3 linked regions of the Drosophila melanogaster genome follow. The protein of the gene in region 2 purifies or fractionates together with the protein of the main gene of each other region. This does not show direct contact. Each region holds a gene or a part of one and is shown on either strand. Other genes may lie near its edges.

What was found.
Region 1: the proteins of MED25 (region 2) and Tlk purify together in Drosophila melanogaster (affinity purification with mass spectrometry, with the first as the bait; one large-scale study listed by BioGRID). This does not show direct contact.
Region 3: the proteins of MED25 (region 2) and Usp10 purify together in Drosophila melanogaster (affinity purification with mass spectrometry, with the first as the bait; one large-scale study listed by BioGRID). This does not show direct contact.

What each region holds. Positions count from the first base shown.
Region 1 is NC_004354.4:3,768,935-3,777,169, reverse strand, and holds the start of Tlk (Tousled-like kinase), read right to left. Parts: upstream 4,531-8,235; 5' UTR 4,136-4,530; intron 1,356-4,135; 5' UTR 551-1,355; coding exon 1-550.
Region 2 is NT_033777.3:20,005,607-20,013,957, reverse strand, and holds MED25 (mediator complex subunit 25), read right to left. Parts: upstream 5,012-8,351; 5' UTR 4,899-5,011; coding exon 2,307-4,898; 3' UTR 2,246-2,306; downstream 1-2,245. Other genes in the region: CG17190 (uncharacterized protein), read left to right, coding at 508-567, 1,365-2,078; Hs6st (heparan sulfate 6-O-sulfotransferase), read left to right, coding at 7,538-7,723.
Region 3 is NT_037436.4:868,791-877,005, reverse strand, and holds the start of Usp10 (ubiquitin specific protease 10), read right to left. Parts: upstream 4,096-8,215; 5' UTR 4,027-4,095; intron 3,699-4,026; 5' UTR 3,587-3,698; coding exon 3,131-3,586; intron 3,016-3,130; coding exon 2,125-3,015; intron 2,057-2,124; coding exon 1,807-2,056; intron 1-1,806. Other genes in the region: CG12502 (uncharacterized protein), read right to left, coding at 6,410-7,073, 7,140-7,343, 7,405-8,070.

The sequences.
Region 1 (8,235 bases), on a different chromosome or scaffold from region 2:
TGCTGCTACTATTGTTGCTATTGCTATTGCTGTTAAACGATGTTATCGTTGCTGTATTTGCACCTTGCTTTTTCGTTTGCTTTTGTTGAGCTGTTTGAAATTGCTGTTTTTGTAGTATTTCTGGTATTTGCAACAGTTCTGGTTTTCTTGCTGAACGTTGTATTTGTTGCAATTCTGATATTTTCTGCTGACTTTGCAATATTTGTGTGGGTTGCATGTGCGCCCTTTCATTGACACGCTGATAATCAACGATTTGCTTTTGTTGCTGTTGTTGATGATGGTGAATTTGTTGCATATAACATTCTTGTTGCTGTGTTTTTTGTACAAAATGCAACTTGTTTATTTCTACGGTTTGCTGAACTTGTAGAAAATCCTGACAGTTTTGCATATGATGTTGATTTCGGGGTATATCTTTATAATAATTATTTAGTTGTAAACGCGATTTCTGTTGTTGCCTTTGCTGTGCTTCTCTTATTTCCAGTTGTTGCTGTTGTTGCTGGAGCATTGCTAGAGCGAATGAACCGCAAAGAGGAGACGGCGTACAAGACATAACATGTTCGCCTCGCTAAACTAGCTCTATCTCGCTCAGGCACGAAACAGCTGACACTTGCCGGCTGAATCAGCTGCTCTAGCTCTCTCGCTTTGCGACTCTCCGTCTATCTCCCTCTCTTTGTTTCTCTTCACACATGCACAAACACACAGAGATGCACAAGAAAAAAAAACAAGTCTCGCCTTTAACGTTTTTTCTCCTTCTTTCTTTCGTTTTTTTGTAGTAGGAAGTTGTGTGCGCGAATTTTAAGCGACACTGGGCGACACGTCACGTTGCTCGCTCTTTAAGTTTAAGTTCGACACTGAGAGCCAGTCGGCTAAAATTGGCAAATCCAAAGCACAAACACACACACGGTAACACAAAAAAAAATTAAGCCGAACGCGACTCAACGAATGTTGTACTTTTCGTTTTTTCTGGTTTCTTGCGCACACACAGGCACATTGCATGTATATACAAGTGCGTAAATATGTATGAGAGCAGGCAGTGTGTAATGTCTGCTAACCGAGTGAACTTAAATTGTGTTTAGCAACCGCCGACAAAACCAAAACGACACCGACACCACCGCCGTCTGCAGCCGAAATGTCGTTCTGCTCTCTGCTCTCAGCGGTGCTCCTCTCGCTGCTGCTCTGCGGCTCTGCCATGCTCTCGTTGCTTCGCGATGTTTCGCGCTTGTTCTTGTTGGCAAGACCGCTGACTGCGCTGCCCACGCTGACTTCGGCGTTAGAAAGCTTGCACATTCGCTAACTGCAATGCAATTACATATTTTTTTAATCCCCTTATCCACAGCATTTTATTCAGGGTATATCTGTAAATCATTTCACATACATATGTAGTTTAAATAATTTTTATATCCAAATCTATTAGCTTCGTTTGACTTTTTATTTTTTGATGGCTGCATTTATTATTTCGTTCAACTTGCGCAGCTCACGTTAAGAATGCAAATGTTAACACATACAAAACGCATATACACATACACACATACATACACATGTATGTACATTTCGTAATCGAAAGCAACCGCAACAAATAAAACCCTCGTATTAATTTGTTTCAGTGCTGTTTAATCACAATTATAGCCACAACAAAACTATTGTTTATGGATTAATAGATATGTATGGTCATGTATGTACATAAACTTTACGACGTTTTTAGGAGAAATAAATAAGAACAATAAAACTGAAAATGATGACACTTTTTAATAAAAAAAAATATCGAATCATTTTGTAGTATTTTCGCCAATATTGTAAATGAAAGAGAGAAGGCAATACTTGTGCCGTTACTTCGCCGACAAAATGCAAGCTAACGGTTGCCTTGCCAATGACAGGTGATGAAGCAAGACAGAGAGGGGGACAAAAAAAAAACGAGACAGAGAAATAATGCGGGGCTGTGGGCACTTTTATACATTCTCTGTCTATTTTTTTCATTCGTTTTGGGATATATTAAGGGAGAAGATAAATTAAATTTGCACATACACAAATAAAGTCATTGGTGTAGATGGTGTACATACATACGTATGTATTGGTCATAGGTAAAACACTCATTTTTGCATATTTCGGATTTTCACAAGCAAAAGAAAATCAATGAACTCAAATCTGCAATTTTCCCTGGTTTCTTCCTTTTTTTTATTTTCTTTAGGATTTTTCAGCGATTTTTACTTTTTAATGGATGAGTTGTGTTGCACTTTTTTGCGATTCGTCGCTGATTTTTCCTCCATTTGATTTGTGAAACTTTCACCAGAAACAAGTCAACAACAACTGTGCCAGAGCAAAATGATTAAATTTTTCTACACACTTTTATGTACCTGTTTTCTCCTTTTTTTTTGCATATGAGTGAGTTAGTTAGAGAGTGTTTGTGTGTTTGTATGTGCATATGCTTTCCCAGGCCTTCGAAAATTAAAAACCAAATGCCAGCTGACGTAATCACGCAGCATAACAAATAAGAAAACAGAAAATAAAAGATTCGGTGTATAAAACAAAAGTTTTGTGAATTGGGCGCGCGTGTGTCTCCGTCGTCAAGTTGAGTCAATCAACAAATACACACGGACACTACATAGTCAGATGTGCACACGAAACGACAGTAAAGTCTCCTCAAAACAAACGCGAGTTATTTAATCTATCTAAAAGAAATAAACACAATTCCAAAAAAGATCTTTTTGATCTTGTAGATAGTTTCTAGATCTACTATTTGTGTTGTCTTTGATGTTACAAAAAATTCATAAAATTTGGGGCGACACAATGAATACAATACCAGGATTTACTGTAGATCTATACGTACATACATATGTATGTATGTACATAATTGTGAATTGTTAAGCAGTTGTCGCACAATCAGAAAAATAGCAAAGCAAAGTGAGCAAAACAGAGACACTGATAGATAAAGAAGACGAGGTGAAAAAAGATTGAAAAAATCACGAACAAACATATGAAGGGATATGTTATCGAACACGTTAAAAGTCAAGATTTAAAAGAATTTTATACGATTTCAATCATCTGGGTCAACCGAAAAAGATAAGAAAAATTATTTGATAAATACATTTTCTACATTTTCTGCATACCCCCCTAATTAGACTTTAATTCGGCATTTCCGATCAGAAATTCTATAAAAATCGCGTAATCAATTAGAAAAAAGAAGACGGAACGAATGGAAAGCATAACTAGTTAGAATGTTTAAAAGCTTTATGAGATGAAACCAGGCAAATACCTTAAATATGCGACAAGCTTTCGACGTTTATCTGTTTGCCTTTGCTTGTCGTTGGCCTTTTGTTGTTTCCCTTTTGATAACAAACGGCGAGTATGACAAATAAAACAAAAGAAACCTACAAAAAAGCATTGAGAACGAGAATCAACAAATTAACATGCCGCGAATGTAGAAACACAACAATGGCGAAAAAAACATAGAGAACCTCATGTGGGAGAGGCAAAGAGGGCCAAAAACAAAACAGCACAATGAAAAGTGGAGAGCAATAGTGTTGCTCAATATAATTTTATGTGCTTCATTTGGAATAAATATTTAAAAAATATGGATGGATTTGGAAGCTCATATCTTATATAGAAATAACAATTATATCGGTTTGTATAACAAAATCGACCTAATATTTTTTTCATTTCGACGCCAATAAAAGTATGTAAATTCTAATGGTAAATTTAATTTGTCTTACAATTAGATCTGGCGGGGAAAACCGTTGAACTGACAGCACTGTTACTCTCGCAGAGTCGTCTAATTATGCTGAACCAACAAATACAACTATAACAAGAACAGGCAAATGAGGTGTGAGAAGGGGATAAGAGAGAAAGAGAGCGACCCAGTCAGTGGAAAAGACGGCGACCCACGACAACAAAAAACGCAGCGAGTGACGAAGAACGAGTTGCTCTCGTCTCCTCTATTTTTCACACCCTCCCCGACCCTTTTTTTGTGGATAACTTAAAAACAGTTTAATTTACTATTTGAGCAAACGCGAAATGCAAAAACAATCAGCACACACATTCATACACATACGAACACTCGCAAATAAAGAAATTGAACAAAAGAAAATGAACGGACACAGAGGAAAGAGTGGCGGAATAAAATAAATAAAAGGCAACTGACGTTTGACGACGTGTCGTCGTTTTCGTTTTGCGTTTTTGTTCGCCGTTTGCCTTCCTTGCTTCTTTCGCTTTACTCTTTGGTTTGCGCTTCGTTTCGGCTGCGCGTGTTTTTCGTTTCAGTTATTATTGAGACTAAAAATGCGGCGTGAGATTTGATTGTGAGTAAGCGCAACGCAAAGCGCAAATCGTCAAAGCGACAGCGCTGGCAGTGGCAGCGACGTCGGCAGAGTACGCTTCACACAAAAAAATATATAAAACTGTAGTAATAATAATAAAAGGCGACAGAACAGAAAATTCGCACAAAATAAAAACTCACGAATGACGGATTGAAAGCAAAAGACGAAAAGTTGAATACCCTATCAAATCCTCAGTGAAAACATTACAATGTCAAAGTTCAAAAAATAAATGTCGAAAATTAATTCTAAATGGACTTGTGTTGAATTATTAGGCTTCCAAAGTTAAGCATAAGTCACCGATATTATTGGGATTGGGCGTTTGGGCCAGACGACGGGCGAGGGGCGTGTCATATTGTTAAATACGCTTCTTATTTGCTGGCCGAGTCAAATATTTCATATGAGGTAATCGACATTGTCGTCGTGAATATACATATTTTGTTTATCGCAAATGTATAAATATACCCGGCAAAGCAAAACAAACCGAAAATTGCCAAAAAAAAAGTAAATAAAAAACAAGGCAAGGGAGCAAGAACAGAAACATTACCGCATCTGTTGGAATGAATAATATTCCCCATTTTGTTACATTTTTTTTCTAGCATTCATGAATACATCCAATACCCATGATGTGTACATTCATAGGTGAGAAATCTTGACAAAAATTTCAATTCTTAGCAGAATGGAATTGTTTAGGACTTAAAAAAAAATAAAATTAAAACGAAACTGCAGGGGAAATTAGTTTATTTTTAGAGGTATTCAAGAGGGCAGAGAAAAGAGCGAGATCTAAATAAATAGGTATCGAAAAGATGGGGCATAATACATTCATACATACATACATCCTATACTATCCCTGCAGTTTCATAATTCATCGCTCTTGAAAAACATTATAAAATCATCGCTTAAGCCAGCAGAACTGGTTTTTCTAAATCCGTAGGACATTTATTTATACAAATTGATAAAAAAAAATGGAATTTATTGTAATAAAAAAGCGCGAATTAAGTGATGAAAAAGCGAAGAATCGAACTGCGGATTGAATCGGAAACGGAATGGCTCTATAAGTTAACTTCATTATTCTTATCAACGGGAAAATGTGTTACGTACATATACAAACATATATGTATGGACATACATATGTATGTGAAAGCAAGTATATTATGTACACAAAGAGAAAGATAACGAATGCAGAGGAAGCAGCTGAAAAAGTGGGGAATACACCAGAGATTGTGTATTCTCGGAGCCACATTCCCCATATATTTCCAACAAGGTAGCAGCAAGGTACTACCAAAAAGGCATAGAAAAAAACATAAATATACATTTGTAAAATATATGTATGTACAATACAAATCTTATTCAATTATGGGGTTTGTTGCAATTCCAACTTGATTAGCGCTATTTGCGATTTTGTGTTTCCTTCTAAACGTATGTATGTATGTATGTATGTATGTATTTGCCATTCCGCGTAGATTACCAATCGGTTTTATAAATATAAACCAGAAATCGGCAAACTGAGCACCTCAATCGATTTGTCATTGAAATTGTGTGTATAAATGAGGCACAAATTACGATTCTGGGGATGAGCGCATGTTTAGAGCATGGGGCATGTAGTGTAGTTGGTGACTCAACTCGACTCAGGGTACACACCCCACCCCTGCCAACCACCGACATTATTTGACCGACTCTTAGGCCCGATCATCTTTATCGGCTGACTGTCATAGTCCAGTCGATTCGAACGGAGAGCCAGCCAGCAAAAGCCAAGACTGAGAAGCCAGAAGTCAGGATAGCCGCCTTCGATTGCCTTTTGGCTGTGGGTTAAACACAACCCGTTTGTTTCCCTGTAAATCGGCATACATATATATAAAATGTATGTATGTATATGTAACATACATATGTATATAGAAGCGTATACGCATTATTTATTGAACGAATCTGCTTCGCTTTGCGCTTATTTCTGTTTTCCTTTTCGAATGCCTATTGAGTTATTGATTTTGATTCTCACATTTTTGTGTGCCCCTCGGATTCTCCCCTTCCCTTATCTTGCAGTTTGCTTTTTTTTTTATTTTATTTTGTAACCAAATGTACAATATATGTATGTATGTATAGTGGGTATGGGAAAATCTATCGAGGTGCGCTTATTATATAGCCTTTGCTTTAGAACATTGCCCTCGACTTTGCTGTGAGCTCTCGCCGAGCTTTTGTGATTTTTTCTACTTTTTATTGCCATTGAAACAATTTGTGCTTAAAATTGTTTAGATAAGATTTAATTAGAACAAACAATGCAGCGCTAAGGCAAATAAAGAGCAAACTGAGAAGCAAAACCCGAAAATACTGAGCGAAATAATATGGTAGGAATATTCCCATATCCACATGTAAATACATACATACATACATATGTACATCGATTTTTAGTTGGCAACACAAAGAACTCGGTTTTTAGGGCGGTTAATTAGGGTTGTTAATTTTTCATTGCATTTGAATGACAGCATTTTCAATTATCTGTCATGTCGGGCATTTAATGCGAATTCCAATGCGATTCGCAGCTTTTCTGGTTTCAGTTGAAATTTCAATCAAAGAGCAACTCGTGAATATTTATCAGTCAGACTAATTGTGACATACTTAGTCGTGTGTAAGAGTATGCATGTATAGATACATACATATACATACATACATACATATATACGTACTTATATGAACGATGTATTGGCGTCTGTCTATATATATCGGGGCACTATATACAGCTATACAGCAGCTATAATAACAACAATGAACGCAAGTCATACGAAATTTCATTGGAAGTTCATGCTGCCTCTTTCTCTTCTCTTCATTTTGTTTCGCCTTCGCCTTTTTTTGCCGTCCGTTTTGGACACAACTTCTATTTTTCGATTACGATTGTACACTCAGATTCGCTGGCGATTTTTCTTGATTTTTATCCACCAAGCGCAAGCTTGAAAAGCTTTTTTCTGACACCCAGCCAGCTTCTTTTTTTTTCTTTTTCGATGTTAAAAAAAAATTAACAAAAAAAAAACGGCAGAACTAAAATATCAAATTGTAACATATTTGAATCGAACGTATGATAACTCATACTAGATTCGTTGGAAACTATCGAAACAGGTAGAAACCATACATTTCCCGACCCTGCGCCTAATCCAGTCATGTTTAGTCGGTTTTCTAGTTGGTTTTCCTTGGTGCGTTCAAAAATCTCTGGCAAACGGGGCGTATAGTTGATGCTGATGTTTAAGGCATTCTGTAGTTTGATTGGTTTGAGCCATCATCATTGGCAGTGGCTGGTGCGACCAGCTGGTGCTGGTCTCCACCACCAAATCCTTCCTCTCTTGCCCACCCAAATCCACTACCTCACCCCTCCATCATCATCATGCTCTTGGCCCAAACGAACCCTACCGCCAAAAACCGCCCGCACACCATCATTTCAAATGTTGTCCAAGGCGGGTGGCGGCGGGGTAGGGTGTGGGTTTGGTTGGCTCTCGCCGAAATTCGCAGCTCACTTTTGGGTTAACGATTATAGGATGGCTGTTTCAAAGGAGGAGGGCTCTCTCATCCTTTCTGCTACCAACCAGGCAACTGCCACTGGAATTGTTTTTCGTCTCGCTTGCACTTGTAGCCAAACATCAAGTGCAACATCTGAGTGGAGAGCTAACTAAACAACAACTAAAGTGAGGGCAGAGCAGCGGCAGAGCTGCAGCAGAACACTAGGGCACTGCACTTAGCAAAATTCCCATGTCTTGTTTAAATGAAAACAAATTTTCGATATTCTTCATTCATGAACAACTGATAATGTTGCATATATGCAAACGAAATGCAAACATCAGCTGTTATTTATTCGTTTCAAGGTAATTAATTTGTTGGGGTGTATGGTATTAGCTGGAGAAAGCAGTGCAATTATCAGCAGAGGCTGAAAAACTAGCGGCGGTAA
Region 2 (8,351 bases):
AAAGGCCAAAAACTAAAAACTTTGAATTTTGAATTTTGGTGGAATTTTTTTTGTAGGTTTACAAAAGGTTGTGTACTAGCACTGGGCTATGTTTTCAGACTGGGCCAGTAAGCCAAACGAGATTATGAACTAAAATTCGCTAGCCTACTGCTTTCCCGAAATTTCTATAAGATTCCACAATCGATTCGTTTGGCAAGTCCTTGAAAATAAGGAAGATTACTGCAACCTATTTGCTGCAGATATAATCCCATAAATGCTGTCACTCCAAAAACTCGAAGAACCGACTTTTTTGGGGGCCTCTAAATGCATTTTGAATTAAATTTAGGTACCACAATTGCCCCTACCGTTGCTGCATATTAATTGATTCACTAGTCACCTGGTCACCCACTCAATCAATTGGTGCCTCAGTTCGATTTCTGATTTTGCTGGCAGCGGTTTCAGTTTCTGTTTCGGTTCGGTTTTAGTTTCGATTTCTAGCCAAGAGCTAGATCCGTGATTCCATTGACAATGTTGCGATTGGCCAGCTCCACACTTAGTAGTTCCATATGTCTTATTGTGTTTTTTAATGTAAGCAAACACTTGGCATTGCCGATAATTAGGGAACTTGGCGATGTCTAAATTCATAATGTGGGTTTTTTTTAAACAAATAAGTGACTCATGAGCTAACTATTCAAGAAAATGGTGTAGGTCATGAATAGAGTATAGAGTTTGGTTGCACATTAGGGATCACCTTCGTATACAAGGTATAACCACACAAAGCTTTGCTTAAAACTTTAAACTATAATCTCTGGCTATTAGTAAGAATATAATCAGACCCTCTTCCGATCGGACCCTATGACTTTTTGAAGCAACCACCATACACCCAGAAAAATTAAGAACGTCACTCAGTGGCATTTATCATAAATCATGAGAAGATTTCTTCTTGATTTCGAGACGAAAACGATCTCAATTTTAATATTTTCAGAGGGAAGAAGTATCAGGTTTATGATTGTGTAAAAGGAACGTAATGGAAAGACTGACAAAATGAGAGCAAAGTCAATTGTAATCTAAGAATGGATCGATCTCTATCGAAGCATAATTCAATCTTGGCAGAATTTTGAGATCAAAATTTTCAAATCGAGATCTTTGAGAACGGTTTTTTCTCTAAGTGTATAGATGGGCACATATCATAACTTAGAAACCTCATCTTTGATTTGTAAAGCAGCCATATCTTATTCAACCAAATTCAAGGTCCAGTGACGCGTGCGCGTTGGGATTTGAATATAGAAAGCCTTATTACCGGTCATACTCAATATTCATTAACGTACGTGCAGCCGGTCATTAAGCGCCAATTATAGATTCCATTTCTCCGAATGTATCTGCAGTTTTTGTGGCTGCTACTGCTGACGACGACGACGACGACGACGTCCGCCAAGCCCACCAACTCCAGTGATTCTGGCACCAAGAATGGAATGCTGCATGTGACCAGCTTTGTGAACCAGAAGCCCAAGTCGGGAGTACGTGAAGAGTTCGATTTCGAGCAGAATGAGGCGGAGGCCACCAACTCGGCGCATCTGCAACAGCTCTTCGGCAGTTTGTTGCAACTGCCTGGTAAGGGAAACATGAGTCTGGAGCTGTCCCTGGAGACGGACGACGATCCGGTCAGCGAGCGAAACCAGCTGGATGATGAGATGAAGGCCACTGGCGAGCAGCATGAGGGCTTCACCGAAACTGCGGATGCATGGCATCGCATTAAGCTAAATATTCCGGTCCTGGAGCCGGTGAAGCACCTGATAAACACAGTTGGCGGTGGCGGCGTGAACGACTCCCATGTGAAGAGCAATACTCATCGGCTGATTGGACACCATGGCGTCCACGAAACTCACCACAATGGCGGGAACATCAGCTCCCCGGCCATCGAAACGGAGGAGGATCGGGAGACAGCCATCGACAGCACCGGATTCGATGTTCTGGAAACGTTGGGCAGCGCGGGAACGGTTCTGTTCAGCATCTTGCAGAATCTTCGCAAGGTGTTTGCCGCTAGCGCTGGAAGTGCAAGTTCCGCATCCTCGGGGGGCGGCGGCGGTGGAGCAAACTAGTGGACTTTCTCGGAGATTATGTTCTGTGATTAATATAAGTCTTGTGCAAATTCGGATTTCCCTTGATTCTTACTAATTAAATAAACGAAATGTTATGAAAATGGAGAAATTAATATTTCGATTTTGGGAAATAGATTTTGCCACTACCCCAAAAAAGACTTGCAGTTGGATTTTATAAAATATTTTACTGTCTTAATTCTGGTTTTTTATACGATACTCTTAAGTAGCCTACATGAACTCATAGTTTCCGTCGTCAAAGTTGCGATTGCCGACCATTGGACCGCCTGCTCCCATTTGATTGGGATTCTGGCCACCCATTTGCGGCCGGAACTGATTGCCTGGCGTGGTCTGGTGCTGCAAGAGCTGGCGCAGCCCCGGGTTGTTGTTGCTCATCATGGGACGCACCATGCGCTGCTGCTGCTGTTGCGCCTGCTGCTGCTGCATTGCGGCGACGTTTGGCGCCACTTGTTGCAACTGCTGCTGGAGGTTTGGATTGGGCACGCCACCGGGACCAACACCCACGCCAACACCTACGCCCAGTGGCATTCGCTGTTGCTGCATCATGTTCATCTGCATTTGATTCTGTTGCATGGGCATGCCGCCGGGACCGGGACCAGGTCCGCCGCCAGGACCTCCACCACCCATCTGCATATTGAGTTGGAACTGGTTGTAGTGTTGCTGCTGCGAGTTATCCTGTTGCATCTGTTGCTGCTGTTGTTGTTGTTGCTGTTGCTGCTGCAGCTCCATGGGCGACTTGCCTTGCTGCTGCATCATTTGCTGCTGTTGCTGCTGCTGTTGCATGTTGCCGTGCTGCTTTTGCTGTATGACTTTGCGCAGACGTTCCACAAACATTGCCTGATTATTGGGAATGAAGCCCAGAAAAGCGTTGCGATCGGGCGTGTAGAGTAGGATGAGAACCTTAAGGTCACAGGCTGGTGAGTTGGGGATGGAGGAGAAGTGGACGCAGCCAGCATAGCCGGAGGTCATCATCTTGGCCAGCGAATCGAGTGCCTCTCCTGGAGTGGGTCGAAAAACAACCATTTTCGAGTCCTTGAGAAACTGCCCACCAATATTGCCAACTAGGTGCTTGGGCATTAGCTGCATCAACAGCTTGGGCGGCCAGTTCTCAGCCTTGATCTCGGGCTCGCCATCTTTGATGTTGGTGCACACGGTACACTGGAGTGTATGGGGAATCTTCTGTTGATCGGACTTTGGCTTCTCTGACCACTCCAGCACTCCGGTCCATATCTTTTCCCTCAAGGAGGCCTGCTCCTGCTGCGAATTTCCCTGCTGTTGCTGCTGCGGATTGCCCTGCTGCTGCGGATTCGACTGTTGTCCTACTTGTTGTTGCTGCTGCTGCGGATTAGACATGTTGCCGGCATTGCTAGCCGGCATCATATTGTTTCCTGCATTGGGATTTACCTGCTGCTGTTGCTGTCCTTGCTGCTGCTGTTGCTGTTGCTGGGCCAGTTGCTGTTGCTGCTGCAACTGCTGGTGATTTAGCATCTGCTGCTGGCTCAGCATCTGCATCCTTTGTTGCTGCTGCTGTTGGGCCTGTTGTTGCTGCTGCTGCTGCTGCTGCGCCTGCTGCTGTTGCTGCTGCTGCAGCGAGGTCACAGTTTGGTTCGGCGGCGGCGCATTAATGCGCGATATCAGAGCAGAATTTGGATTCTGTTGCATGCCGCCGCCTTGGCCCACACCGCCCACATTGCCTGCTCCCTGCATGAAGGGCGGACGCGCCTGACCAGGCTGGTTGGGATACATCCAGCGGTTTTGGCCGGGTCCCACGTTTTGCTGGAAGTTCTGATTCTGCATTTGATTGGAAACGAATTGATTCTGCTGCTGCTGCTGCAATAGTTGCTGCTGCTGCTGTGGATTGAGTAAGCCCGCTGGGGGATTTGGACCGGGCTGCTGTTGCTGCATCGTGTTCATGTTCATGACCTGCTGCTGAGGATTGCCTTGTTGTTGCTGTTGCTGCTGCTGTTGTTGTTGCTGTTGCTGCTGCTGGGCTGGAGTGGTGTCCATGGGCATGCCCTGCCCTTGTTGTTGCTGACCAGCTTGATTTTGTTGCTGTTGTTGTTGCTGCTGCACTGTAGCCTGTGCCGCATTGGGTGCAGCCATTTGGGCCGCCATGCTGTTGGGACTAGGTGCTCTCTCCTTGAGGCTGTATCCCTTTAGAAGCACTAGGTGTCTTATGTTCTTGGCATAGTTTTTGCTCGTAATGGGCTGATCTCCGTCGGCCTTCATGAAAAGTTTGAACAACACCGGCATCTTGCGTGGCGCAATAATGGAGAGATTGATTTTGCGCTCGTTGAAGAGCGCCGCCAGCTGCTCACATGATTTGCCCGGATACTTCCACGACTCCGTTGTGGGCATCTGGTACGGCGGACTGTTGCAGATGAGAATGCAGTGCCTCTGGACGCTGGTCTGATCGAGCAACTGGCGCCTTTCGCTGATGTCATCAAAACAGCCGTGGGCCGCAGCAAATCCTTCGGCCATGTGGGCACAGGACTCCATTCCGCCTCCCACTAGTGGCAATCTTTCGATCGTCTCCATCACTTTTTGGGGCTGCAGAAAGGGACCATAGGTTGAACAAACTGGCTCCAGCAGATTGGCCGCTGTACGGTAGACCACAATACCGTACAGAGTGGCAAAGCGCTCCGCAATCAGGTATTCCCGCTCGTCGATGGAGCCAGTGGTGAAGTGCTCCAAAGTCGGCAGGATGTAGTTGGTCTTTAGTTCGTTGATGTAGGCTCCGTTGATGGCGCTGCCCTCGATGACGAAGACCACGTCGGCCAGGGGAATCTGGTCCACCTCCATTGGACGATGGGAGTTGGCTTTAAGTTGAAAAACTTGTTGCAAAAAATGTAAACTATGTTGTCTGCTTTACACCGCTCTTTTACTTTTTTCGTTTGTTTTGCATATCGCTCTGCTGCTATCGATAGTCAACTTATGGTTATCGCTCAGCGATTGCTAGGGCTGCAAAATAAATGAATATTCAAAAGTGCCCATAAAGTTGGATTTAAGAATATGCAGATTGCCTTGAAAACTTGTTTCTATTGAATTCTTTTTCTATTTTCACAAATAAAAAAACGTTTGGTGTTTATCTAATTAACTTAAAATTGAATATTGCATACAAAAGATAACTATAAATAAGATATTACGATGTTTTATGTTAGGTATCATAATTATAGTTGTTTTATGTATGTATTTTCAATGGAACTATAAAGTTAATTCTTTAAATATTCGTTACCAATAGTTTATATCGATGGTTGCAAGTGCTGCCAGACTCTCGCAGCGAGTTTCCGTTCGGCAGTCTGGCAGCGCGGTCAGCTGTTCCTATTGCCCAACTTGCGCAGTTCGTTTTGTTCAGTTCATTCGCCGATTTTGAAGAATGCGGACGTTGACGCTGGTACCGCGTCGTTTTGCCAAAATAATTCGTAAAAAATATACGCAAAACGCTTAGAAAGTGTCAATTAACTAAACATTAGCTATTGAGCAGTGCAAGTGCAGGAAAAACGATCGCAGAAATAGCCGAAAACACATGAAAGTGCGAATTGCGGGCTTTTTTGTGGCTGGCACAGAATGTGTGGCACAAAGCGGAAAGCGCGCTAATTGAGCGTGCGAGCGCCTGAAACGCAGAGAAATGTAAATAAATAAACGTGTGACGCCGCGACAATTGTGAAAAGTGCACAAACACGACGTTTGGCAAGTGAAAAGTGAGTGAAATCTAGATAAATTTCATTAAATTGCCCATTTCGCATCTGGCAAGAAGAACAGCTGTTGTTTGGCATCTCGCTCTGTCTGGTTGTCCTCTCTCTTATTTTGCCCTCTCTCTGTTTTTGTTGCTCCCCTTTGCTTCTGTTTTTTTTTACTGCAATGTTGCTAAATCGTTTGATTCTATTATTATAATTATACTCCTTGCCCTGACGTCACTGCCTCGAAAAACCTGATAATTTGGGTAGGCAATTAGCATGGTTTAAGTATAGTTTAGAGTACAGAGAAGTGAATTAAACGGCCATGTGTGCACAGCATGCATGCTTTTTTGTTATTGTTGCCTGGCAACATGTTTCGCCACATCTGCCTTTTTTTTCTTGTCTCTCTGTTAGTCCAATTTGCCAATAAGCAACTTTTCCATTTGTTTACAATAATTGTGATCGCTACAGAAGCACCGATCGTGAAGTAAAAAGCGCCTACATAAATATAAGGCACCAGTTATGCTTGGGCGTCACTCCGACTGCCGATCGCCAGTTATTTTAGTTGGGTGTTTGTACATTTAAATACCCTACCTAAATGCAACTTACTCGCATGTAGTCAATATCATTCAAACCCTAATATGTTACGCATTTTCCAATCGGGTTTATCACATATAAACAATATCGAAGCCAGATAAAGCGACTTGTGATAATAATCACCCATACAACAAAGGCTGTTCATTCATTATATTTACCATATTATTGATAACTATTTTTATAACTGAACTACAATATGTTCTTATAAATAAAGAATCACTAGATAATTTAAATATTAAATGAAATAAGTACAAACTATTTTTTAACTATAATAAGTTATTATTTGAGTAATTGCACGTATTATCATGTACGGATGTAGGTTTTTTGCTTTAAATAATAAACGTATTTAAACGTATTTTTAATTGATTAAGGGTATACTAAATGCATTGCTTTCGGCTCCGCCATTCACTTTCCACTATTGCGTCATTATTGGTTGATTTATGTATTTTATCGTTACGCTATACATTTGCAGATCGCATTCGCGCGTGGAAATTTAATTTAAGATTTCCCACACAAATAAAGATAAATTTGTTATTGCACAAACGTTTGTTATTCACGCCCGTCTTGAATACTTACTAATAGATTTGCAATTAAAATAGGGTCAGATTAAACGATAAATCAACTTCACCGCCTGCTTATCAGTTTTTGACCCTAACAAAAAAATAGAAAGTCCAATTAACTATGTATGTACGTTTTAATTGTGAACTTCTTATCAGTCTGCCATAGATTTAGGTTCTTAAAAACTATTTTTGATTTTCCCCTGAAGAGCTTTCAGCTACTAAGTAAGTGGCTAGATAAGGGCTAGACAATTTGACAGACCGCTTTATCGGCATGGTCAAGTGGTAACTAATCGGAAACGGTGTTGCTTTTGTAGTGCTCCCAAAACTAATAGGTTTCTAACCGTTTTTCACTCTTACTCCATTTGCAGGCACTGAAAGCCGAGAGACAAGGAAAACCCATTTCCGCGCCAAGTGCAATGGGCGAAGGTGTTCCCATTTTTCGAGTTCTTATCGGGCAGCGACTGAAGTATGATTGAGTTGGCCTCGCCTCCGATTCGCGTCTGGTTCTCGTTGCGCTAGGCCGATACGGATACCCGCTTGGACTCCACTCGGGTGGACCCTTGTTGGACCTTTAGTGCGATTTTCGAGGGAGGCCAGGGAATGGAACATGCCCGGGGATATGCATAAGAACGTATCTGTTCAAGTCGATAGTGATTTTGCCTTATTGCTGCCCAGTGGTGTTTATGAAATCAAGAAAATGGAACCGCGCTCCAAAATCCGAACAATCATTGTGTTTTGCCTCTTCCTGGCCATCGCCGGCATCATCGGATTTGGATACTTTTGTCAAGATCAGGTAAGTGCCAAATCCCCTCATTAATTCCCATTGCTTATAATTTATAATTTTCTGTTACTTGGCTCCAATGCAAATTAGCACACCAATTGGCGAAATGCTGAATTTATTCATTAATATTTGCCGTACATGTGTGCTTTTATTGGAATTACCATTCATACATTTTTGGATCGCACGAAACTTGTTTTGCTATGGCGCATTAATAAATTTATTATTTAAAATATTCGTATAAAAATATGCGTTGGAGTGTTTTTCCCTTCGGCGCTAAAGACAGCTTTTATAATATAGAACTCTTTCTCGATGTTTATCAATTTTTTGGGAGCTTTAATTAGACAAAACAAAATGTTTTGTTTACAGCCTTTCGGTTGGCGCCTTTAAAACTCGGAAATTGTTTACGCAAACGCAAAGGTGCTAATGAAATTCCTCCAAAAATGGAAAATGTGTAACATAATAAGATTTCGCTTGCAGGCGATTGTGCTTCTGTGTTATTATTCATAAATCTTTGACACGCGTGCCCCGTATTGAAATTAGTCTAATCTGTAGCATAAAGTTTACAAACAACTATGGATTTCTGGTTGGTATATTTGGGTCACTACTCATAATATCGCCCATAAATCTTCGGCGTGGTTGA
Region 3 (8,215 bases), on a different chromosome or scaffold from region 2:
ATTTATCAAAGAACGTGAAACCCCTTCGATGTCGCGGAAAATCAGATCATAACAAGCTTACTCGTAAAACCCTCGACCCAAATGATTAGCCTAATCAATTTGCCACGATGAGTTATGGCTTCACTAATTGTGGCCGACCAGAGGAATACTGTAGTGTGTATCATTCTCTAGTCAGTGGACAAACACTTGGCGATATCGCCATATGAAAGCCGTCTGCAAAGCCAAGTGCTTCGAAAACAGCCATAAAAGAAAAACCTCTCGACTAGACGGTGCTCGTTGAATCAACGTAGATACAGATACGGTTATGAAAACAACTGGAACCCAATCAGTTGGCAAGACCTCCTCCATTTCGTGAGAGATTCCCAATTCCCATTCCATGTGCATTCAAACACGAGAGGCAATTAAAAAAAAAAACAATTAAATATCTCTAGAATAACCATAAATCAATCAAAATCTTGCAATCTACTGTGTTAATAATCAATGAAGTAATACCTGCACCTATATGCGATTCTGTTTCAACCGCAGCCCAAGAAAACTGGCCGCTGGAAGGGATTAGTAGCCAATCGATCAAATTTCATACAATTCTTTAACTGAAATGGAACCTACAGAATCTACAGTGGTCAAATAGAACCGAATAGATTACCCTACATCTTCTCTGTCCACTTGGCCTTTTGTTTGGTAATTAGGCTTGACAACAGGCAAATATAATACGCCAGGCCAACAGGTTTAGATGAATCCCCCGCATGGGCACATAAAACACTCAATTACGATTGGGAGTGGGAGACGTCCCAACCCGGTATTTTCACTCGGATTTGTCCGCCCATTCGATTGATAAGCGTGAACAATGCACACAAGAAACGAGCAAACAAAATAATAATAACAAAGAACTGGACGGAAGCGACTTGTGCTGCTGATTAGAGAGTGGGTTGTGGATGATTCAGTGGGTGGATGGGTGGTCAACAAGTTCAACACCTGTTGGCGACTACACGACGATAGATGAAAGCCCAGCCCAAAGCAAAAGGGCAACCGAAAACAAAGGTAGGCCTGGCAACAAGCATTCAGAATAATTAAGGCCCACAAACTATGGCAAAATGTGCACACATACGTAAATACGTTTATGTCATTTGACACCTGAGAAGAGTGTAAGGCAACTGAAGAGAATATAGTTAATGAAAGCGTGGAAAAGCAAAGCAAGCAAAAAACTGCATATGAACACGGGACCAGGCGACGCTATCGAAGGCACGCCATGACGAATTCCAATATACTCGTACAACATAGAAAAACTGCCTTTCAATAGATGTAAAGTAACACGAAACGCAGATACTCTGTGCGAAAGTCGTGTTAAAAGTCCACAAAATGATCTCGCTGCCTTTATCGCTGAGCTTGCTCCAAAACAATAACAGGACAAATGCAGAGTTACTTTATAGTTGTGATAAAATATATGGTGATATATATTGAGAGAGGAACACACCACATATGTACAACTAAATCGACTGAAGTTAAGAATTAGTTGACAACAAAAACTCATAATAGTAAGATAGTGAAAAGTCATTGACCCACAACGAGGAGATTATTCAAATACTCATGACTCAGCCAATATACACATTTTTCAATTGGTCTGTGCAAAGTTCTAGTTTTTATACAATTCATAATGATTGATTATTCCTTATCGAGCAACATCGAATGATGCAAGATTATGAACGTTCGGAATGGAAAATGGGAAATTAGACAAAGTGAAACTCAGCTTGCATTATGAATTCCAATTCCCAAATGAATCACTAATCAATACCGAGCACTAGCACTCACCCGTTTGCTCCTGATGTTGTTGTTGCTGCTGCTGTTGGGGAGTGGGTGTTGGTGGCTGCGGAGGTTGCGCCTGAACCAACTGGGCTGGCTGTTCGATTAACAGGGGCGACGTTTGCTGCAAAATGTGATGCGGCGGTGGCGGCAGCAGAGCTGGCTGGACTGCATCCGGAGGGAGGGGCATGGCAGCAGTCCAGGCCACCGGAATAGGGCCTGGTGGCGGTGCTCCGCACTCGGCTAGCTCGTCCTCGTACTATTAACGATAAGAAATGTTTAGTATTGCCATTGTCTTTAGCTTCACGGTATGCCAGGCCCACTTACCTGCGGTAGCGGACCCGCTCCTGGATGGATTGGCTGCAGGGCGGCCATCTGACCATCGTCGAATATCTGCATCACGCCCATTTGGTGCTGCATTTCGTGCATCTGTGGATCGTAGATGGGATAGTTTGGACTGATCATGCTCGACGTCTCCGAGGAGGGCAGGGATGAGCTATTGTGGTTGAGCTCATCGGCTACACTGACAGCACCTCCATTGGGATGCACAGCCACCTGTTGCTGTTGTTGCTGCTGCTGTAGCGCTTCGAAGTCCTCTGCGTACATGGGGCCCTGGTGCCAGATCTGGGTCATTCCGCCGTCCGGCTGAGCTCCACGTTCATCCACTCCCGGCTGGCCAGCGTCTTCGGGTACATACTGGTACTCAGCCGGATGCATCATGGGGTAGATGTACCCACCGTGGTTGAACCACGCAGGATTATACATCAGCGGTCCGGAGATGAAGAGCGGCGTTCCAGTTGCCTGTTGGGCAGCAGTGGCATTGGGGGGAGGCTGCACATTGGCATGTTGGGGTGTGAAGTAGGGAGAGGGATATGGCCCGTAGGCGTAGGTTGGTGGCGCCGCGTAGTACTGCTGTAAGTGCTGCATGTGCGCCTCCGGCGGCGCCAACTGCTGACCAATCTGATCCGGCTGAAGCTGCAGCCCGGGATTGGCTCCGTCCGGCGGTGGCAGTTGCTGCTGCGGCGGAAGGGTGATCAGTTGCTGCTGCTGGAGGTGACGTGGCCCATGGTAGTCATTGCGTCGCGGTCCACCGCCACGGGGACGACCTCGTTCGCGCATCCGTCCGCCACCCATTCTAGGACCATGGGGATTCGGAGATCCGCCCTGGGGCGCCAAATTAATGGGCACAGGCTGCAGGTGCGGCATCACCGTGTTGCCCTGTGTGGAATAACAAGTAAGAAGGTCAGTAATGTAGGTGCTAGCTAGTAACAATGCTTAGTAATTAGCGAAATTATCGAACAGATGTATATAGATCCTGTTCTGTTTCACCCACCTGCTCCTGGGGCATGTCGCCGTGTCCAATGTAGTGATGCTGACCTCCGGGTGGCATATAAGCCGGAACACCGTGCGGCCAGCCATGCAGGTTCACATTGGCAGTGACGTTGTTCACATAGACGTGATTGCTGGGCATCGGAGCGGGGATCATGGCCGGGTAGTGGGCTCCGGCGTGCGGGTGTCCTCCGTGGGCGGACATATAGACGGGTGGATTGTACACTGGCTGTCCGGTTGGAGTGAATGCCTGGACGGGCGTCATCAAGTTGTTGTTCCCGGATGGTGAGACCAGGGTGTTGTTGTGATGGTTGTTGTTGTTGTTGCCATTATTGCCGGGTCCGCTGCTCACGCCAGACGGCTGGGGCGTCGAGGGCGTTGAGATGGGCGTGGCTGCTCCTCCGCCTGCCGCGCCGGAGGATCCCGCCGTCGTGGAAGCCGACGACGACGTGGATGCCATGGCTTTGAGGCCAAAGGTTAGAAACTTGGCTCAAATTCCGGTTGAATGTACTTGCGGATTTAGACGAGTCTCAAGAGTCGCAGCAGGCGCCAAACATTGAAATTGGTTTTTGCTGATCGGAAAGAGAGCGCATAGCAATTGATTAATTAGTACATTAAGGAGATAATTATATAAGACTGGGCAATCAATATTAATTATGCACGCAGTCGAAAGAAGAATACACCATTTATTAGAGTCCCCTAATTAAATTTATTAATATAAAGTATGGGGGCATGAGGGTAATGATTCAAAACAATTTCTATTGACAAGACCAACTGTTGAATACTATGGCTGATTCTACAAATCTTGAGCCGCACGTTTAAATATATCACATCAATAAAGTAACTTCAATTCTAACACTAGCTTATGCAGCTGGAGCGCACAAATTCATTATATTTTACCCGACGCAGGTTAAATTCTAATTAAATGCGATTTTCAATTCACGCCACTCCGCGTGCCGCAGCCAGAAAAGCGATCTGGCAAGGCCGCACAGCTGTGATGAGACGGTGTAATGAGAAAATCAAATAAACAAAGCAAAAGAGACGCATAATTTAAATAAGGCTTACACGGGAATTATCTCAAATGTAGACGCATTATAAATGCATATTTATCAAACAAAACTAACTGCTGCCCATTGCATTTCTGGACATTTTCTGGACGATTTTTTGGTGCCACACGGCGCCCGCTAGAGATGAGTAATTGCGACGATTTGCCGGCTCACGTAAATATCGGTCACGAATGTAACAGGTTCAAAGGGCTCTTTTAATGGGTTTTTCTAGATTAGAAGTTGGTCATGGAAAGTGAAATGACTTCGGCATGGAAGCTGGTCGTTCATCTTGAAAACTACCTGCATTTGACAGACATTCATTGCTGTTCTTTGGGAGTTTTAAATTACTCATCTCTGCCGAACACAACACACATACACCAGCACATGCACGCACTCACACACACGCACACATGCACACACGGAGAGGCAGGGCAAATGGAAGAAATGGGAAAATAACGTTCGCTGGAAGCAAAAAGTCCACGATTCCCTACTAGTTGCCAGGTTTACTTCTTCCGAGTTTTATGTAAATGGAGGAGCCAGGTGTTTGGTGTTATTATTGTGCTAATTTCGTGGGCGCCGGGGCGGGTGTATCGAACGTACCTTTTGTTGAGTGGCCAATTGAAATCAATTTTGCAATTTGATCATATTTTATGCGTGCGGCAATCTCTCTCCTGCTCTCTCTTTCTCCGCGGTGCCACGATAATTCCGCAACTTTTTACACGCTGCTGCTCCAAATTCTGCTGCTTTTGCTGCCACAAATTAACATTGAGGCGGGCAGTTGCGCGGGGTCACAGGTCTCGGGGCACGGGCGAGAGGTCACCGGTTAACACGGCACTCGGCGATCCCTATATTGCTGAGGGCCACAAACGTTTTATTGTTCTCTATTTTTCGGCCGAAAAACCTTCCTGCTCCCAGGGTTGTCGCAATTCGATGACAGTGCGATAATCGTCGGCGCGTGCTATCGATGGCCAGGGTGGCCACCCGCCTGCAACCGATGGCAACGCTGTGGAAAATTGGCGGGTAATTTGAATGCTTGACTATGTTATTAAAACCTATTTCGGACGTATTCGACAATACAAAACACCAAGACTATTATTAGACACACATTGTTTGTTTTTATTTATGCAATATTAAACATGCAATGAACAATTATACAAAAATTCGCTGCACATCAACAGAGATTCGTGTTCGGCCTTCCATTTAAACCAACTCGGGCATTTTGAATTTTCGGATTGCTGTGGGATTTTCAACATCTATTATGGAACGAGAAACATTGTAATTGCATGGATTACAAATAAACACTCAGATATATAATCGTATAGGTACATATAATGCTGTAATGTGGGGATTAACACTGAGAGCGTACAACTAATTATATATGTGCATCGAACTTAATCCGTGTTCCGATTGCTTTTCATTGACTAGTTTTCCATTCGCCATTGACCAATTTTGTAAATCAATTTGCCTAATCAGTCTTTACTATAAGCTGATTGTACTTTTTACAGGGTATGCACAAGTCTGGCATTTATTTGGCCACGCCCTCGTATTTAGATCGTTGTGAGTACACATCCTCGTAGAGATTAGCATTAACATTAACCGATAAATAGTATTGATAACAACGGTACACCCAACGGGACATTTCGGCCCCAGATATGGGATCGTAATAACGTGATATATCTCATATTCTAACAATAGGAAGACTAGTGACGACAGCTGCGATCAAAATAATATCTCTATGTGTTTTCCAACCAACTGCGCTTCCAAGAATAGGCTTTATTTTGATTCAAAAAGATCGTTTGATTTTTCAGCTCTTTGAAATATGAACTAAAAACAACCTTAATCAGTTGGAAAATATGTCTGAAAATAAATCTGAGACTATTGGAGGAAATCTAAAAAAAATGCACACCAATCCTTCTACGTTTCATGCTATAATTATTTCGATCGCAACTGAAGTTATATTTTTAATAACATCAGTTTATCAAGTTAATAGACGTCGTTGAAGTTAGTTCGTTAGTTGATTGCTTAGGCCCGAGGCAACACAGAGATAATTGCTGGTATATATATATATATATATATATATATACTCGTTTAACACTTATCTAGATACGATCTAGGGGTTATAAAAATAAACGACACGCACACGCACAAAAATACATATACAAACATCAATCGAGTTGCTAAAGTAATTGTCGATGGCTGCTGGTTAAACGCTAAGAAGTGGGTGTATCCATTCGATCCTAGGGATCCTGATCCTGGATTGATTCAGTTGTGTGGGAATTGCCCGGCTGTGTCGGAGGCGGGGGTGGAGAAGGCGGGGTACTTGGATGCAACTCATCCGCATCTATTTCGATCTCAATCGAGTTCTCCCGCTCCGTGATCTCCGGCATTTTGAGGGAGAAGCTGCTCAACTTTCGCTCCGCAGATCCCAAGGAGCCCTGGGAGTCGGCTTTCAGCAAAGTGGTCCTCCTCTCGTTGATGACCCTCAGTGAATCGTACCTCTGCTCATCCGCACTGCCACACCCACCGTTTTCAGCCAATCCCCTTTCCATGGACCGTATGTAGAAAACGGAATCATCCCGCTCGTTTGGAACACCTTTCTTGGGCCTGTAGAACTGGCGGGAACTATTGCTCCTGTATAGCGGATTGGCCACTGGCCTCGGATCCTCCTCCTGCTCGCTGCGCGCGAGGGGCAGGAATCCCGGACGAGCCTTTTTCGGCGGCAAGCTGCTCGTGTGGTGCTGCAGTTCGGTGATCTCCTCGTAGGACGCCTTGGGCTGTGTCGTCTCCTCCTGCTCCTCCGACTGATCCAGACTCTCCTCGGGAACGGCTGGCTCCATGCTGGATTGGCCCGACAGCTGGCGCACCGGTGGCGGTGGCTCCGAGCATACAGATAACTGACTCCTGCAAGGAAAACCGAGTTAAAATCTATTTGGGAACTTGATTTGGAGGGGTACAACATGGACATACCGAAACTCCTTCTCCACGGAAGGCGTGGCCGATGGACCCGAGCTGTAGCGCTTGGGCGAACGGAGAATGGATTTGGGCATCACTTCGGGACTATGAAGATCTACTTGAACACGCCGAGACTCGATACTGGATGTTCGACTGGCCATGGAGGCACAGCGAGCCGTCCAGCGGCCGCTATACGAGGAGTCCGACATTGTAGAGTTCCTGTAAGCAATGGTATATGTTATTAGCCAGCTAGAGGAGCTATTGGACACCTTGAACTCACCGCCTGTGTCCCAGCGGACTGCGACTGTGATCCCGTGCCTCCTCCTGCTCGATGGGTCGTTGCCGGGAGAGAACGTGCCGCTTGGCGGTGTCCGACCGCTTGTTCCGCTCACTGCGCTTCTCTGCGCCGGAACTCATGCCCAATCCGGGCGGATGATTACTGCCGCCGTCAAAGGAGGAGGCCTGCCAGTAGACACGACTAGCAGCTGGTGGCTGGAGCAGGGAGCACTCCCTGGTGGCCCTCTGGATCAGGCTGGAGGAATTGCTGATGATCCGGGCCGACGAAGAGGAGCCAGCTCCTCCTCCACCTCCTCCTCCGCCTCCACCGGAGGGTTGCGATCCCGCTCCCAAGCCCGGTCGCACTGGGCGCACCCGCCGCACACTGCTGCTTGAGGATTTGTGGTGGTGGTGGTGGTGGTGGTGCGAGTGGCGGTGATGGTGACGACGGTGACGGCGGTGCGAGCAATACAGTTCCCAATCCAACGGCGACAATCGATTCAGTGAGAGCAAATTGTAGTAATTAGTGGTGACTGTGGTGGTTGGGTTTTGGTGGTTTGTGGCATTGGTGGAGTTGGTGGTATTAGCATGAGCATGGGATCCGGACAAATCCGGAGCGGAACCAGCCCCCGAAAGGCGGCGCCACTGGGGACAAAAGCGATTGGATGCACTGATGGTTGGCGGAAGCGGGATGCGGATGCGGATTTCAGATTTCAGATTTCGGAAAGCGAAAAGCGGGCGGTAAGAGCGAGAAACAGCCAATCGTATAAGTGAATTTTGATATATACATATAATTTGGGTCCTGTTCCCAATGA